5 linked regions of the Ovis aries genome follow. The protein of the gene in region 1 purifies or fractionates together with the protein of each later gene. This does not show direct contact. Links are inferred from orthologs where the notes say so. Each region holds a gene or a part of one and is shown in the gene's direction. Other genes may lie near its edges.

Region 1 (3,500 bases):
ATAGGTAACCACATATTTTTCTATTGGAATATAATTTGCTTTATAATGTTGCGCAACACTGTGAATCAGCCATATGTGTACATATATCCCCTCCCTCGTGAGCCACCCTCCCACCCTCTCATTCCACTCCTTTAGGTCATCATAGAGTGTTTTTTTTTTTTTTTTAACTGTCAGAAAGTCCTGTCCAAAGAAATAGAATGGCATAACTCTCATGGATCATAATTGTGTATTTTAGTCATATTTTTGAGAGTGAAGACTCTCAAAACAATACTAATACAATAAAAAACAATAAATAAACTAAAACAATAAAAACAATTAAAAAAAAAACTGAGCCCCATAAAACTCTGCAGGAAACTGACAGTGGTGAGTTTCCTGGGCTGAATTTAGATGACGAAATAATGACCGAAAAAATGGACTCAAGCAGAGATGCGGATCGCACAGCTGCTTCTTGCTAGAGTATCTGTGAAAATCTTCCACAGCTGTAATATGCTGTCTTCTTTTGGCCAAATCGCCTCTCCTGTTTTCCATCTACTCTCTGGAAAAAGCTGTCAGTCTGCATGGGCTGTGCCCGTCGGGCGTTGTTAACAGAAACGTGCCTTCCTCCATATTCTCCGAGGCCCACATTTCATCTTGTGGATCTGGGTTAGACATGGGTGCGTTTAATAGACCCAGAGAGCCTGTGAGAACTTGTCCTTGTGTTTTTGGAGTGGAGTTGTATATCTTGCCAGTGTTTCCTCCCTGGATTCCAAGCAGCCGTTAACATAGAACAGAGATTTGTTTGCTCCAGAGGTGAAATCACATTTGTGAAACCCACCTCAGTAGCATTGGCGGTTGGGTTTTTAATGCAGCTTTTAATACCCTCCTGTCAATACTTGGGAATATGCTGAAAGGCCCCAGGCAGCAGCATACTCTGGAAGTATTTATGGCTCCTATATGTTGGGTGCCAGAGAGGATAATGTTTAAAAGCATGATTCCACAGATAAGCCAAATTCCTAGCCAGCCAGCAAATACACAAGTGTCATCTCCCACCAGTAATCAGAAAATGGATTTTGCTTGCCAGCTTTGACCTAAACATGTCTTGTGTAATGAGATAATAACTGACATGGTTTTTGTTTGAATCAAGTTAGTATATAGTTTCATAAAACAAATGAGAGAAAAAGTTGCAAACAGTGATCACTCCATTACCCCTAAAGCTATCTTGAGATCCACACCGGTGAATGTGTAAGGAAGCCTTACTTGGCAATATCAAGGCACAGGAATGAAGAGATACCCAGAGAGAGTCCCTCCAAAGGCCCATTTCCCCCTGCTAGCATCACCTCCCACACTCGGGGCACGCCTTTTTATTGATGAGTCTCCACTGCTGATATTTATCTCTGCAGAATTATCCTCCCAATGTGGGCTTTAAAAATATTCACAACCTAAAAGTTGAGAGTTATGCTTTATTTGGTGGGGATTTTTCAGAATTTAAAGCCTAGGAGACAGCATCTCAAGTAAACCTGAGGGAATTGCTCCCTGGAGGCTAGGGGAGGAGCCAGGTTATATAGAAGTTTCGCAACAAAGGGCAGGGTAGTCAGAACATCAGGAGATTATTGTTAATTAAAGAAAACCAGATAACCCAAGTTAAGGAATTTAGCACTTTTCTGTGAATGGGAAGGTGCAAGAGTCTGGGCTCACTGAAATCATTCCTTTGATATGCACCTCAGCTATCTGGGGCCAGTATGGTCTTTTTACCACCTGAGCTCCCTGGAGGCTCACCATGGGGAGTGGCTGCAGTCGGATGGCTGCTAGAGGGCAGGTGTTCTTTCCTTCCCGAGCCCCCTCAGGGCTCACCAGCTCACCATCCATGCTGGTGGTGACTGTGATATCCTTTGTTTACTGATATGGCAGGAAATACTCCATTTCTCACGAAGGTCACCCTGAACTGTGTAGGGTAATGTTTTTATTATCCAAAATCATGTCAGGATTCCAGAGTTCAGTTGGATGCTATGATACTGCACAAGGGGAAGGTAGTGATGAAATATCATGTACTGCTGGCTTCTGTGCATTCATAACACCTTTACTGTATGTGGTACAGAGCAGTGGGTACAAGAGACGTTTAGGACACTCTTCCCATCAGGGCACTGGCAGAAGGACATTGTTATTCCAAAGGGGTGTTATTCCATGGTTGACTTTTCTATTATTTAAAAGGATGCCACAAAGTACTGTTTCTCAATATAGCAGTGGGGTATAAAACCAATTTAGTAAGGGAGAGCTTGTGGAGTTTTGTTTTGTTTTTTTGCTTGTTTTGTTTTTTTAATGGATAGAATATAAAAAAGGAAAAGAATGGCAATTATTAATGCATTGCATATTGGAAACATAACTATTATGTCTGTAAAAATTGTTAAATTACGCACATATATATTCATATAATATTATACATGTGTGTGTGTGTATGTTTAATATGCACTGATTTATACATAATTACTGTGAGTTGAAGACCAAAACCCATGAGATATATTTTGATAAGCTTGAGTGGCATAATGTTTTCATGTGAGGCTGTGTCGCTAGCCACTCCTGGTCTCAGGACTGTTGATAATGGCACTAACACATTGGACCTAAAAATGTTATCCAAGGTTTTCAGGTGGCTGCAAAAGGACCTGTGGTCAGCATGGAATTCTGTCCTGGATTTGGGGTTCATTCACTGATGCTTCCCTTGGCTTCCAGGTGGTGGTCGGTGGGGCAGAATGGCACTACATCGCCACTCAGGGGCCCCTGCCACACACATGCCATGACTTCTGGCAGATGGTGTGGGAGCAGGGAGCCAACGTGATCGCCATGGTCACCGCAGAGGAGGTAAGTGGCAGGGGCACCCCGCCATCTGTCCCCGGGGAAGGGAGCGGTTGGAAGATGAGCTTTGTGTTGGCGACCCCACTGCCCTGTCCCCCTTCTGGCATCTTTTCTCTGCCAATCCTTTTCTCTCTGACGTGCCTCTCTTTTCTCTCCTTATTTCCATATAGGTTTGTTTTGTTTTCCAAAGATCAATTTATTGTTATGTCCCATTTTGATCCAGCTTTTAACTGTTTTTCTTGAATCACCATGTACTACGATTAAACAAGCAAACAAAAAACAACCAGACTTCAGTCCAGCCAGCTCACTTTTGTTGTGTCAAACAAAGCAATGGTCTTTTTATTGGAGTCTGAGAACTTTGGGGGATCTCCGAGTAACTCGGCGTATATTCCCAAACCCTGGGCATGGCAGCTCATAGGCTCTCCTGTTTATCAGCTAGAAAGAGACCAGAAGTTGTTATTTCTGTAGAGGAGGCCTCTATTCTTTGGGGAGAGAGAAAAAAAAAAATCTGTTTCTTCCTTTGCCAAGTCAAACATAGTTTTTCCATTGTAACTGAAGAAGTCTACGTGGTGTTGCCAAAACTGGCGTATACCCCCAGTCCATTTAGCAATTCACTCAGAGCCTCTTGTCTTTGGGGAAAGATGTTTTGTATTTCGGCTCTTGTCACAGTCTAA
Region 2 (3,346 bases), on another chromosome or scaffold:
CCCGTCTGCTGTGGCTGGCTGGCACTCCAGTCCCTGGGGCACCGAGTCACCTTGGGAGCTTGTTGATGATGCAGAATCCCAGGCCGCACTCCCAGGCCACCTCATCCAGGCAGCTGTGGTGTGGCCCTGGAAGCAGCATTTTTATAGGCTCCTCTTCAGAATTCTGGAGCAGGTGTTCCGTGATCCACTCCTGGAGAAATGACACCGAGGAGCTCCTACTCAGTACCCCCTGCATGTCTTACAACCCCACCACCAACACACACACATCCCCTCCCCCCCCGCCGCAAGGCAAGCCCCACAGAAGTTCCTGCTTCTTCACTTCCTCTTCTGCTCAGCCAAGGGGATGCCTTGCAAAGGGGACCCCTGATAGCTAGTCTGAGCCCATGTTCCCTTCAGGGCCTTTCTATGTCCTGAGGCACAGGGGTGTCCAGAGGCTGGGCCAAGACCCGTGCACACTGCAGACCTTCCTCCACTAGCTGCCTGAGCAATGCATGTTGTGGAGAGGGCCACCAGGCAAGGGCCTGAGAGGACCTCTAGTAGCTGTGAGCAGCCCCTGGTCAGCGGCTGAGTGAGAAAATGCAAGGAAATGAATTCTACCCAGGACCTGAGGGAGCCTGGCTGCAAATCATCCCTTCGTCAAACCCCCGGATAGGGATGCACTCAGTCAGAACCTAGATTTCAGCCTCATAAGACCCTGAGCAGAGGATTCAGCCAACCTGTGTCTGTCTAAACTCCTACCTACTGAAAATGTGGGATAGTGAGTTTGCATTACATTCAGCTGCTAGTTTGTATAATTTGTTATGCAGTAACAGAAAACCAATCCAACGCCCAATAAAGTGATTTTTTAAATGGTATTAATACATAAGACATTAACTATGAGACCTGTCCTCACTTCAGGCTGGCCAGCATGCTTTTAGGAACAGGAAACCACTCAATGGAGTGGTTCTGTGCTTTTCTAGGGTGACCATTGTCTAGTCTGTGCTTATAAATGAGCAAGGCGGGGAGATCCAGCTGAGTGATCTCAGTGACTCCAGGTCTCACCTGAAGATGCTTTTGCTTAGCTCTGCTGCCCCTGTACTATCATCAGTCATGTCCTGCTCTTCATGACCCTGTGGACTGTAGCCCGCCAGGCTCCTCTGTCCATGGGATTCTCCAGGCAAGAATACTGGAGTCGGTTGCTATTTCCTTTGCTCTGGCCCATGTCCAGTCTCAGAAACCTGTCTGGATATGTTGACGCAGAAAGAGGCAGAGCTCAGGCAGTAGATGGAAGCCAGTGAGAGTAAGGGAAGCAACTGCGTGTAGGGAGTGCATGGGTGGGATCTGGAGCCAGCTGCTTGGGGTGGAATCTCAGCTTCACTGCTTATAACGTGTGTGATTTAACCTCTGGGAGCCTCATCTGTGCACATGATAACAGTCAGGACCTCATAGGGTTGTGAAAATGAACTCAGGTAATGGAAGTAAAGCACCCAGCACCATGCCTGGGATATAAAAATGCTCACTAATATGAGGGGTAGACCTGGAAAAAATCAAAACAGGCTCCCAGGGGTTGGGCGAGCCTCACTTTTGGAATGGAAGCCCTCTGATGAATGAAGGAGGATAAGCTGACCTCCAGAGCAGGGGAGAGCACAGAGTCAGTGGACCCGGCCTTGTACTAACCGGTCCAAACCATCCCCACCCCCGCAGCCTTCGTCCGTTAAATCCCTGCGCGCTGAGCGCCTGCCACGCACCTCGCTGGACCTCGAATTGGACCTGCAGGCCACCAGGACCTGGCACAGCCAGCTGACTCAGGAGATCTCGGTGCTGAAGGAGCTCAAGGAGCAGCTGGAACAAGCCAAGAGCCACGGGGAGAAGGAGCTGCCGCAGTGGGTGCGGGAGGACGAGCGCTTCCGCCTGCTGCTGAGGATGCTGGAGAAGCGGGTGGGTGGCGAACCGCGGGAACACAGGGCGCGCCGCTGCAAGGGAGGGCGGCGAGGGCCCTGAACGGGTCCTGCAGTTCTGTGACTCACTGAGAGTGCTCCCAGAGCCCCTCAAGCTCATCAGCAAAGGAAGCCAGCAATCCCTCCCCCAGGAAGCTTGATTCACTGTTTACTGCTGCCAGGTTCTTTTGCTGCATTCCCGTCTATGTGTGCAAGCCCTTATTACTCGCACGTTTATTCCAGCAGCTGGTCCTTCATCAGGCATACTGGGGGGCACTTTATCTACGCTGGGGCACACACTTGCACAGAGGAAATAAAAACGCTGACTTGCCCTCGTGCCTGCCTACCCAGTCCCACAGAGCACGTTTCTCCAAAGGGGAGAGGAGTGGGTCCTGGCCGGGTTTTATCCTGATGAAGACGCCTGAGGATACAAGCCTCCTGGCGTCTCATCCGTAGCGTAGTGAGCTGGGGAGATCTCAGCGTTGCTCAAGAAAAAAGATACAACCACAAAGGGGCCAGAGCATACGATGAGTTGAATTTGGGTGGCTGCTGCTTTCACAGGTGTGTATTTGGGAAGGTCTCACACTGCATGAGACGCCCCCACCCCCAGCCTCCAGAGGCAGCTGTTTTGGCTCCACTGCCTAGAGGGGACTCCAGGAGTTGGTGATGGACAGGGAGGCCTGTCGTGCTGTGATTCATGGGGTCGCAAAGAGTCGGACACGACCGAGCAACTGAACTGACTGACCTAGAGAGGAGGAGACCAGGCGAACTCCCAGGGGAAAAGGGAGCTGGAGAGGGGACCTAGACTTGGAGATGATGTGACTTGGAGCACCATGAGAAGTCTTGGGTTGGAGAACAAAGCAGCAAGAGTTTGGAGTCTTTTATAGTCCTGGGGTTTAGCACATCTAGACTAGCAGATGTTGGGTGCACTTTTAGGGGGTATAGGTAACAGGCAGGCTCTAAAAGTCTAAAAAAAAAAAAAAAAGAAAAACCAAACTGCTATTTGAGCTTCATTTAAAACAATTGGATGGGTAAAAATTTGTCTTTGACACCAGTGGGCTCTTAGCTAACAGATCCCAGACTGTGGTGAAGAAATAAAACACCATAGGGTTAACACACAGAGGCCATCTCTGCCTCATTCCTTTCATACCTGCCAGGATGGCTGTCCATGGCAGAAATGACAAGCTTTTGCTAGTTTTCTCTGCACACAGCCAAGCAATACAAGAGCGCCTTCCAGAGGGTGCCTCACTGGATTGTTGGGAGGGCCATTAGCTAAAATTCCGACTCTCAATTAAGGTGATAACATAAAGCAGGAGGTGGTGCTGGGCTTCCTAGGTCTGGACTTGTGGGAGCCTCAAATTGACTCTAGTAAATCAGAAGTTCCCCAAACATTTATTTCTTTCTTGTTTATTATATCAGAGTTATAATAA
Region 3 (3,500 bases), on another chromosome or scaffold:
GCAAGGAGATCCAACCAGTCCATTCTGAAGGAAATCAGCCCTGGGATTTCTTTTGGAAGGAATGATGCTAAAGCTGAAACTCCAGTACTTTGTCCACGTCATGCAAAGAGTTGACTCCTTGGGAAAGACTCTGATGCTGGGAGGGATTGGGGGCAGGAGAAGAAGAGGACGACAGAGGATGAGATGGCTGGATGGCATCAAAGACTCGATGGACGTGAGTCTGAGTGAACTCCTGGAGTTGGTGATGGACAGGGAGGCCTGGTGTGCTGCGATTCATGGGGTCGCAAAGAGTCGGACACAGCTGAGCGACTGAACTGAACTGAACTGAACTGATGGGTACTAAAAACAGACCAGTAGAGAGAAGTGGGTTCCAGAGAATGCTTTTTAGTTTATTATCTGTGTAAGCTTGCCCATAAACAAACCAAAAATTAGAATATTTTGTATTCGACCCAATTCTTGGCAACCTTAGTTTTGGTCTCAAGTACAAGATATCAAACAAAAGTCGACACTGTCAGATTTATTAGGATTTCCTTGCATTTTTCTTCTTCCTTGTCACAGATTTTTAAAAACTAAGAAATAGTTTGAATTTGGTTCTAGGGATATGCTTATAAATTTGACACTCACTAGAGTGATAACTTTCCTCGGGGGGAAAAATGAGGTGGTGAAAGATCAAGAAGCTAGTTTTTTATGGAAAATTAATCCATAAATAGTTATTAGACTTTTTTTGATCATGGTCACTGTTCCTGATATGATTCTTTTCACTGGGTTGTAAAATAATGTGTAATGAAGTTTTATTCTTTGGAGATTAGAAAAATTACTTCACATACATTATTTCCATTCCAGGCTCTAAATTATCTTGGAATTCAGCCCACAAAAGAACAACACCAAGCCCTGAGAGAGAAAATGCAAGTAGACCCAAAGGGGATGGTGTCTTTTGGAGGTAACGTTAGGTTCATCATGTTGCATCATCACAGAAACTTGGTCGAAGAGTTGTTGTGGCCCACATTTATTAAGAGTGCCTCTTCTTTAGCAGGAAAGAAAGAAAAACAAAAGCCACATCTATTAATATGTCAAGTTCCTTAAATGGTGGGACTTTGTTGGTGGCTCAGCGGTAAATAATCCACCCGCAAATCAGGAGACGTGGGTTTGATCTTTGGGTCAGAAGATCCCCTGGAGGAGGGCCTGGCAACCCACTCCAGTATTCTTGCCTAGAGAATCTCATAGACAGAGAAGCCTGGAGAGCTATATACAGTCCATGGGGTCACAAAGAGTCAGACACAACTGAAGTGACTGAACATGTACGTAACGCCTTAAACAGTATTCTAAACACTCAGAATTATCGGCCTAACTGAGTCAGCAGAAAGGAGAACTTTCTTAGAATCCTTCAGCTTTAAAATTTTATTCTATCATGTTATGTTCTGTTTTTAATTTGTTGCATAAATGTTTTCAACCAATATGATATAATTATTAATATCTTAAACTTTGCACTATTGGAAATTTTGATGTTTTTTCATTAACTGATAATATAAATAATTCTATGTTTAATATAGCTTTTTTCTTCTTTCTCTTAGGATAAATTCCCACAAGTGGCCTAGACTTTTCAAATGTACTAATGAATTGTTTTTCAGAGACAGTTTACACACATATTTGCTCTGCTACTAGTAATGTTTGAATGTAACTGGTTTTTGTATCCTTGATAACATTAAGAATTTAATTTTTTTTTATAGAGTAGATGCAACATTGTATCATTCTAAAAGCCTCAGTATTGCTAAAGAAAGAAATTTGGGGTTTTGAAGTGATAAAAAAGATACATTTGATCCCCTCTCCTTTTGAAAATCATCACAAAATAATGAGAACAAGAAATAGAAATACATGTATGACCACAGTGAATAAGGACAGAAAGTAAATGAGAACAGTAAATGAATTAGTGAGCAGAGGCATATAAAGCCCAAGAGTTTGAAAAGATAGGAGAATCACAGCAGAGAGCAAGCCAATTCCTGGAAAGGTTTAGAAATTGAGAGCATCAGGTACTTAAGGCTGGGTGTAGGCAGGGCATTTAGAACAGAGTTGTTAGGAATCTGTGTAAGGAGCAATTAGGTATGCTTTTCCCTGCCCTCTCTCAAGCAATCCAGCAACTACCACTCCCTTATCCTTGCAGAGGAAAATAAGTCTATCCTCTTTAGAAATTACACCAGATTGATTCCAGACCTATAGTTGCCAGCAGCTAGGGAATTTAGGGGTATGTATGGTGAATTATCACTCACAACACACACTCAGATTGCTCAGTGATATTTGCAACCATATTTATACTTTATGGGTAAGCAGTTGTAGGAGTTTCTCCAAAGAAACTGAACAAGACCTCAAAATAGTTGGCTACCTGATTGCTCTGTAATGAAACCCACTAGTTGACAAAGAGAGTTAGGCACGCAAAATTTCCAATCAATGATTTAGTGCCTAATTTTTCTTGAATGTGAACTTAAAACCAGGAGTTATCAGACATTTGGAGAAATCCTTCAACATAAATGTAAAGCCCCAAAGTGTCAGATAAATAGAAAAAGAGGAACTCAGAAAAGGAATATTCCAAGAGCAAAGAGAACTTCAGGTAAACCATATATTAGAAATGATAAAAAAAAAAAAAAAAACTAAGCTGTCCATGAAATAAGAGAAGGATATTATAAAATAGGAGCAGTTAAAAAGATCATTGGAAACTAAATATATAATAGCCAAATTTTAAAAAAAAATTGAAGATAGATGAACATGTCACACTCCATGTCTCAGGAAACCTATAGTTTGCTAGGTGGGCATTAGGCAGTGTTATATAACAATCAAGAGCATATGACTTTCAGTCAGACCTTAAATGGAATCTTGCTTTGCTACTTATTTGCCAAGTTAACTTATCTTAGCCCCAAATTGTAAAATGGAGAGGATTAGAGGACCTATCTCAGAAAATTCTGGAGATGAAATTACAAAGTGCCATTCCTAGCATTTGAGGCAGTTATGGAAACATTCACTGCTATTATTATTATTACTTCTACTACTATTGTTATTATTGTTAAGCCTATTTAAGTAAGTTAAATTTTAACTGTTATTATAACACATAGCTTTAACTTCATGTAGAGAAAGGTAAAGTTGACTTAGATAAGGTTAAGTACTGTATTCTTACTGAAATGTGTTCTGTTTTAGATTTTGTCCACACTGCCAGAAACTTGTTTTGCTTGCAATTGGATGAAGCCAATGTTGGTGCACATGAAATTTCCAGCATATTAAATTCACAGGTAGAGTATGCCCTATAGAGGTGTCTTAATTGCACTTAAGTCATGTCTTAAATGGGCTTCCCTGTTAGCTCAGCTGGTAAAGAATCCGCCTGTAATGCAGGAGACCCAAGTTCGATTCCTAGGTTGGGAACATCCCCTTGAGAAGGGATAGGCTACCCACTCCAGTATTCTTGGGCTTCCCTGGTGACTCAGACAGTAAAGAATCCTCCTGCAATGCAGGAGACC
Region 4 (3,500 bases), on another chromosome or scaffold:
TTTCCTTCTGATGGGTGGTTCTGTTTTCTCTGTGTTGAGTTCATTTGGATTTCACAAGGGAAAATAATAAGAATCTTTTTATTCTCCCTTCAGTTTCTATGCTTATCGTCATTATGTTGAAAATAAATTTATTTATCTCCTTTTTTTTTTTTGTCTAGATTGAAATTGGAAGAGCGAAGGAAAGAGCTGCTACAGAAACTTGAAGAAACTACTAAATTAACTACATATTTGCATTCACAACTTAAAAAGTAAGTCTGTTTTGTTCCTGAAGGGAAAATTTTTCTTGGCTACCTTCAGGCATGTTGCAATTCTGCTTCAATTACCTCCTCTTTATTTTTGATGACTTAAAAGTAAGAAAATAGTTGCACTAGTACGGTTAAAACCTGAATGACCAGATTTAAAGTTGGAGAGATTTGTTTGTTTGCTTTCATGAACCCCAGGGTCCTATTTGGAAGCTGTTTGCAGTGTGTTGGGAAGAAGATATATTTTAATGACCAGGACATACTTAGGAAAATAACACATTTCTCCACATCATCCCTTCTTTTAAAAAGGGAGATTTGCCCTAAAATAGCCACACATTCACTTCCAAAATATACACAGAAAGAGGAAGAAGGGGAGTGAGCCTAGCGGCCTTTGTCTTTAGAAGCTGGCTTTTTCCTCTCTCACAATAAAAGATTTCGTTCTTTAAGTAAAGTCACAGCAGTAACCCTTCATGCTGTTTACCTCCACACACACACTTTTATATATCTTTAGTTGCACAGTTGCTTCTGGATATTTATGCGGATAGATTTATCAGTAGATGTTTGATCCCTTTTTAAATTTTTTGTAAACTTTTACACAAGGAGGATGATTTTTGGTAAGGTAGGATTGCTCCTCAGAGAATCTTTTGAGAGCCGGGTTGGAAATGTTTGAGACTGGGCATGGAAACATGTGGCGTGGCTGCAGGTGCCCTTTCCCTGGTCGCTGACCTTGATCTTTGACATCACTGGGTTCCTTCCCTCTCTGCCAAAGGAGCCAGCAAGGGCTTCCATCCACATCATCGCAGCTTCTTGCTTTGTTTCTGTTTGGTCTTACTTATTTATTTTGGCTGCGCTGGTTTTCCGTCGCTGAACCGGCTTTTCTCCAGCTGTGCCGAGCAGGGGCCCCTCTAGCTGCTGTGCTTGGGCTGCTTGTGGCAGTGGCGTCTCTTGTCGAGGAGCACAGGCTCCAGGGTGCTCGGGCGTCCGTAGCTGCAGCTCCCAGGCTCAGCAGCTGTGGTGCACAGGCTGCACGGCTGCTCAGCATGCGGGGTCTCTGCCACTGAGCCGCCAGGGAAGCCCACGTCCAGGCTCTCACTGTACGCCTTCCTCTCCCAGCCTCTCCGCCAGCACGCTGTCCGTGTCCTCTGGGAGCAGCCTGGGCTCCCTGGCCTCCAGCCGGGGGTCCCTGAACACATCCAGCAGAGGGTCGCTCAACTCCCTCAGCTCCAGCGAGCTCTACTACACCAGCCAGGGCGACCAGCTGGACGCGGATTATCAGTACAAACTGGACTTCCTCCTGCAGGAGAAAGGCGGCTACATGCCTTCCGGCCCCATCACCACCATCCACGAACACGAGGTGGCCAAGTCCCCCAGCCAGCCTGGCCAGAGCGGCCCCGGGGGGGCGGCGGCCGCAGCCCCAGGCCACCCCACCCCCCTGGCAGAGGCCCCCAAGTCCGTAACGTCCCTGTCCTCGAGGTCCTCCCTGTCTTCCCTGTCCCCGCCCGGCTCCCCGTTGGTCTTGGAAGGCGCATTCCCCATGTCTCCCCACGACGGCCCCCTCCACCAGTTCTCTGCTGACTTTGAGGACTGTGAGCTGAGCGGTCACTTTGCAGACATCAGCCTCAGAGAGCATCAGCTGCTGCTGGACCCTGACCCGGGAGGAGCGCCCCCGTCTCTGCTGGACGAGAACAAGGAGCTTGGCGAGTGTGCTCAGGAGCCACTGTACGAGGGGCCCGCAGGTACACAGAGACCACGCTCTAAGCTGCCCCCGCCAAACCATCTTCAGGGATGAGGGGAGGTTACTTTTTCTGTGGGAGCAAGTATTGGTACACGTCCCCCTTCTCTTTCTGCTGCTCTTTTTTCATTTTGGCTTCATTTGGGAAAGAACGTTTATTGCTATAACTCGCACAGTTGTTTTTTTTTTTTCTCATCGAATATAAATCGCCTTCCGTATTTAATAGATTTAACCGTTAAATGTCCATTTTGTCGTCTGGAACCCTGCAGTGTCCTGAGCTGCCTGGGGACATACTTTGTGAACATTCTTCAGGCTTCCAGATAAGGGGCTGTTTCTGAAATAGTGAGGTGGGGAAGAGGACTTTTTTTATTTTTTTTTCAAAGTTGGCCTAAAACAGATTCAAACCAAGGCAATTAGCATAGCAGCTAATTAGTACCAAGGTTCAATGTTTAGATTGCTATGGGAATTCTCTATAAATACAGTTTCTGTTTCATGCCAGACTCTCCCTTTCCGCAGAGAGTTAATTTGGAGAAAGCGGTCCCAGCCTGCGGTGTCGCCCTGCCACCTTCTGGCTGTAGAGCTAGTTGCCATGGGGTTGAGTTCCCACTCCTGCCTGAGCTCAGAGAAGCAGAAACAGAGGGGGAGTCTCCTACGCTTTAATTGCTCACCTTTGCGAGGCCAGAGCTTTTAATACAGTGGATGTGGTTGTAAACATCCTGGGATGGCGTGCACCTTGGCTGGCAGGTGGTCACAGCTGTGGTCTGAGGAGCCCGCCCCGAACACGATAAGAAAGAGACTCCAGCGCCCGGGGTGCAGACAGAGATGCTGGGTGGTTCGTGTGCTGCTCGCCCGGCAGGTGCCAAAGCTGCAAGTGACGTGTTGACTGAAATAATCAGCCGCAAAGAAAAGGAGCACCGAAGCAGTGTTTACAGAATGGCTCCAGCAAAGCAGAGACCTGCTGCAGGGCCTCGCACCTGCCCCCAGGGAGGCGTGCGGTGTGTGGCACTGGGGCCCGCCACCCCCCAGAGCCCGCCCGACCTGCACTCACATCTCAGGGGCTCCTCAGTTCCAGCGAGCACATTGCCCCATCTCTCAGGCTCATTAGCTCCTCACCTGCAAGGTGGGGGCAACACGGTATCTACTTCGTGGGGTGCTGGGAAGGTTGATGCTCTCATAATGCATCAGGAGCATCAGCCATGCCTGGCCCTCAGTGTGCCGCTCATGGGAGTTAATATCACCCCTATGACACGGAGCAGTGCAAACTCTGCCAAACCCAGTTCCTACCACAAACCACTGACATCTACAAAGGGAAGATAAAGCAAGAGAGAGGGAAGAGAGAAGAGTGGGTATTGTGCCTTTCTCCTGTGCTCTGGGCCTGAAGGACCCCAGTTCCCGAGCATTTCATCCTGTCCCTGCTGGATGGCGGAAATCAAGAACACCTCCGAAGTCCTTCCGCAGTCACTCTCTGTCAGGCTGCTGTGGTTATTCCTAGGGGTAATCAATAAATCATGTCATCACCTTCACCA
Region 5 (3,500 bases), on another chromosome or scaffold:
AGACTCCCACCTCCGTGGGCTAGCCCACACTTCCCCGGAGCCAGCCATGTGGGTAGGGAGTGGCCAGACCAGGTTTCCCTTCTACTGACTCACTGTGACCTTGAGTAAGTCACTTCCCCTCAAGGGCATCACTCCCCCATGCCTATTATAAGGGGTTGGATTGAACTAGAGGTAAGATAGGGGATCCAAGCCCCAAAGCCAGCTTGAGGGTCAGAGAATCTTTCCATTCAGAGGGCTGACCTCTGAGCCCCAGCTCTCAATTCCCTGGAGGCTCAGATGGTAAAGAATCCTCCTGCAATGCAGGATACCTGGGTTTGATCTCTGGGTTGGGAAGACCCCCTGGAGAAGGAAATGACAACCCACTCCAATATTCTTGCCTGCAGAATTTCATGGACAGAGGAGCTACAGTCCATGGGTTAACAAGAGTCAGACACAACTGAGGGACTAACACTTTCACTTTACTTTTCGCAACAGAGGTGGCCTAATAGGGTGGAGCCTGAGCCTGCCTCTTGAGCTGCTAGCTAGGCAACTAGAAGCAAGTTACTTAACCTCTCTTTTTCCCATGTATAAAATAGGTATATTCCCAGACTCTCCTCCACAGGGTTTTTGGAGGATTCAGTATGTGGTAATACTAGGTACTCGATAAATGTAAACTGCTGTTAGTACTTAGCAAGTAAAGAAAGGGCCACCCAGCTATCTTGCCCTTCTAACTTCTGAAGCATGAGGTAGAGCCATCAAACCGAGCTTTCCCTTCTTGCCCTAGTGCCATCAGTCTCTGGGTCTGATCCCTCTGCCACCTCTCTGCAACCTCTTACCTCCTCTTCCTGCCTGAATTCCTTCTGAGCATCAGCTCACCTGAGGAGCCTTATGGGGTCACAGGCAGCCTGTACTCTGCAAACCTCCCCAACTTGTGAAGTGTGATTCTACCTCCCAGTACTTCCCCGCAAGCCGGCTCAAGGCCAAGCCCGTTGCCAGGTAGCCAGGCAGACCTGTGGGCTTAAACTTGTGAACAGCAGTGCTGGTTCTGCCTGTGTTGCTGCCGCTAGGCCAGAGGGCTGGGAGGGCCCAGTTGGGTTCTTCAGAGTCACCTGTATCAAGACCCTGAGAAATACCTGACCCTGGGCCGTAAAACTGGTGCTTCCTAACCTTGAGAACACTTCTTTCAGCACTTGAGGTCTTCATAAGTAATTGGATCTTCTCACGCCCTAGGCAGCCCATTCCACTCTGTTTTCGCCAAAGCCCACCACTTCGCAGAAGTCATCTTCATGGTTTCAGCTCACGCATATACCACAAGCACACATGCACGCTTCATGCCCACATGCACAGCCAGAGGGCAGGTCTGGTGGGTGGAATGGCCTGGGCAAGAGGCCAGCAGGGACCTCAAAAGCTTTGGTTGGAGCTGAGACACTTGTGTTTTAGCCAGAAGGTGGCTGCGTGTTGATGTCAGCAGCTTCTGAACCGTGAGGAGGGTCCCTGGAGGTGAATGAATGTGTAAGCAGCGTGTTTGAGGTGATGGTGAAGCTCAAGGGAGCCCCACCCCCTCCCAGATGGCTTCAGTATTCGACAGTAGTCCAGAAACACATTGAAGGAAGAGACCCCTGGGTTCTGCGAGTGGGGCAGCTGAGGAAGGGCAGGGTTGGCTGCTGTTTGCCTGAGTTTGGTCTGCAGTCGTGGCCCTCCATGACCCTCCATCTCTCCATAGCTCACCCCTGGAGGTAAAGCTGCACAGGCTGGCGTGGCCGTGGGTGACTGGGTGCTGAGTATTGATGGTGAGAACGCGGGGGGCCTCACACACATCGAAGCCCAGAACAAGATCCGTGCCTGCGGTGAGCGCCTTAGCCTCAGCCTCAGCAGGTAAGCCTGAGCTGAGCCGCCCTGGCAGGTGGGCGTGCCCTTGGGCGTGGTCCATTATCACCACTTCCCCTTCTCTTCTAGGGCTCAGCCTGCTCAGAGCAAACCGCAGAAGGTAGGGGATGGGCTTGGGATATGTGGGCAGCAGGCGGGGTGGGACTGGACATCGAGGCTCACCTGCCCTCCCTGGTGCAGCCTTGGTACTCTCCCATCCCTGGCCGGGAGTAGAGGGTGGACGCCAGAGCTGGGGAGTCTGGGAACTGGGAGTTGGGCCAGGGACTGCCGCACGGTCAGAGCACCATGCATGTCTGCCTGTCGGTCCGTCCGTCCATCCGTCTGTCTGCCTGCCTCCTTCCCTCTCTCCCGCCGGCCTGTGCTGCAAGCTGCACCAGCCCACCCGCCCTCGGACTGCGTGGGCTGAGATCATTGCTCCCAAATGGGCCCCTTGAAACCTGAGTCGCCCCCTCCCCGGAGCCTCAGGCCAGATGTGTGGGGGTAGGGCTGGAGCACCGCTGGCCCCTTCGTGCCAGGGGACGCCCCCCTCTGGCCAGAGCCCCCGCCTCCTCCCGCCCTGCCCGCCCTCCCCGCTCTGTCTCTGCCCAGGCCCTGGCCCCTGCCGCGGACCCCCCGCGGTACACCTTTGCACCCAGCGCCTCCCTCAACAAGACGGCCCGACCCTTCGGGGCGAACCCGCCCGCAGACAGCGCCCCGCAGCAGAATGGGTACGTCTGTCCTGCCCGTCCACGCCGTGTCTCCACCACCGCACGCCCGCCGGCTGCCCGCTGCTGCTCTGCCTGTGCTGCGCCCCAGCCTGGCCGGAACCGTGCGACAGCGACCCCTGGTGGCTGGGGCGGGTACTGCAGGCACAGGGCCCCACCGAGGGTGTGGCTCGTGCCGCCACCTCCTCGGTGGTAGCCTGGGGTTGGGATTTGATGTTGGCCGACTGAGCCCAGACACTCAGTGCAGCCTTCCCCCTGGCTATTCTGACCCCTTGCCATCTTTCTTCCTCCCCTTGTCTATCTCTTTGTACCTTTATCTGTCCATCTGTCTTATTTCCTTCACAGGTGCAGACCCCTGACAAGTCAGTGAGCCCCCTCTGCCTGTCCTCTCTTCCTTCCTTTTGGCACTCTGGGTGGTGGCCCCTCCCCACTCTGGCTGCCCTCCTTTCACCTTGGTTGCCCTCCTCCCCTCTCACTTCCCTACCCCACCCCTCACCCAGCAGGGCCCTGGCCTTGCCCTGCCCTCTTCCCCTCACTTTAGCCCACCTATATCAAGTCCGGGGAGGGGCCGCCCCTGCTGCCCACCCCAGCATGAGGTTCTGAGCCACACCCTCCCCACAGACAGCCGCTCCGACCGCTGGTGCCAGATGCCAGCAAGCAGCGGCTGATGGAGGACACGGAGGACTGGCGGCCGAGGCCTGGGACAGGCCAGTCCCGTTCCTTCCGCATCCTTGCCCACCTCACGGGCACCGAGTTCAGTAAGTGCCAGCCCAGGGAAGGGCGGACTCTGCTCCTGGTCCCCAGCCTGGACCCAGGCTTAGCTGGAGCCTGCTCCGGCACCCTCTACCAGGGCTCAGGGCTGGGGTGGCCTTCTGTCTGCTCTTGGTCAATGCCTGCCTCTGCCCTCTCAGTGCAAGACCCGGATGAGGA

Evidence for each region. The genes of interacting proteins can lie anywhere in the genome.
Region 2: the proteins of PTPN14 (region 1) and WWC1 purify together in Homo sapiens (affinity purification with mass spectrometry; 7 studies listed by BioGRID and IntAct, counting the BioPlex papers as one, with this or other methods). This does not show direct contact. The link is inferred for Ovis aries from reciprocal best matches to the Homo sapiens genes PTPN14 and WWC1.
Region 3: the proteins of PTPN14 (region 1) and STXBP4 purify together in Homo sapiens (affinity purification with mass spectrometry; 3 studies listed by BioGRID and IntAct, counting the BioPlex papers as one, with this or other methods). This does not show direct contact. The link is inferred for Ovis aries from reciprocal best matches to the Homo sapiens genes PTPN14 and STXBP4.
Region 4: the proteins of PTPN14 (region 1) and WWC2 purify together in Homo sapiens (affinity purification with mass spectrometry, with the first as the bait; 3 studies listed by BioGRID). This does not show direct contact. The link is inferred for Ovis aries from reciprocal best matches to the Homo sapiens genes PTPN14 and WWC2.
Region 5: the proteins of PTPN14 (region 1) and PDLIM7 purify together in Homo sapiens (affinity purification with mass spectrometry; 3 studies listed by BioGRID and IntAct, counting the BioPlex papers as one, with this or other methods). This does not show direct contact. The link is inferred for Ovis aries from reciprocal best matches to the Homo sapiens genes PTPN14 and PDLIM7.

The regions. Positions count from the first base shown.
Region 1 is NC_056065.1:68,675,801-68,679,300, forward strand, and holds part of PTPN14 (tyrosine-protein phosphatase non-receptor type 14), read left to right. Parts: intron 1-2,703; coding exon 2,704-2,832; intron 2,833-3,500. UniProt on the Homo sapiens protein: Protein tyrosine phosphatase which may play a role in the regulation of lymphangiogenesis, cell-cell adhesion, cell-matrix adhesion, cell migration, cell growth and also regulates TGF-beta gene expression, thereby modulating epithelial-mesenchymal transition.
Region 2 is NC_056058.1:78,063,658-78,067,003, forward strand, and holds part of WWC1 (protein KIBRA), read left to right. Parts: intron 1-1,683; coding exon 1,684-1,917; intron 1,918-3,346. UniProt on the Homo sapiens protein: Regulator of the Hippo signaling pathway, also known as the Salvador-Warts-Hippo (SWH) pathway.
Region 3 is NC_056064.1:5,021,543-5,025,042, forward strand, and holds part of STXBP4 (syntaxin-binding protein 4), read left to right. Parts: intron 1-843; coding exon 844-940; intron 941-3,183; coding exon 3,184-3,275; intron 3,276-3,500. UniProt on the Homo sapiens protein: Plays a role in the translocation of transport vesicles from the cytoplasm to the plasma membrane. Inhibits the translocation of SLC2A4 from intracellular vesicles to the plasma membrane by STX4A binding and preventing the interaction between STX4A and VAMP2.
Region 4 is NC_056079.1:13,335,216-13,338,715, forward strand, and holds part of WWC2 (protein WWC2), read left to right. Parts: intron 1-158; coding exon 159-248; intron 249-1,355; coding exon 1,356-1,978; intron 1,979-3,500. UniProt on the Homo sapiens protein: Regulator of the Hippo signaling pathway, also known as the Salvador-Warts-Hippo (SWH) pathway.
Region 5 is NC_056058.1:36,694,815-36,698,314, reverse strand, and holds part of PDLIM7 (PDZ and LIM domain protein 7), read left to right. Parts: intron 1-1,702; coding exon 1,703-1,854; intron 1,855-1,935; coding exon 1,936-1,966; intron 1,967-2,454; coding exon 2,455-2,573; intron 2,574-2,915; coding exon of another isoform or gene 2,916-2,932; intron 2,933-3,191; coding exon 3,192-3,328; intron 3,329-3,481; coding exon 3,482-3,500. UniProt on the Homo sapiens protein: May function as a scaffold on which the coordinated assembly of proteins can occur. May play a role as an adapter that, via its PDZ domain, localizes LIM-binding proteins to actin filaments of both skeletal muscle and nonmuscle tissues.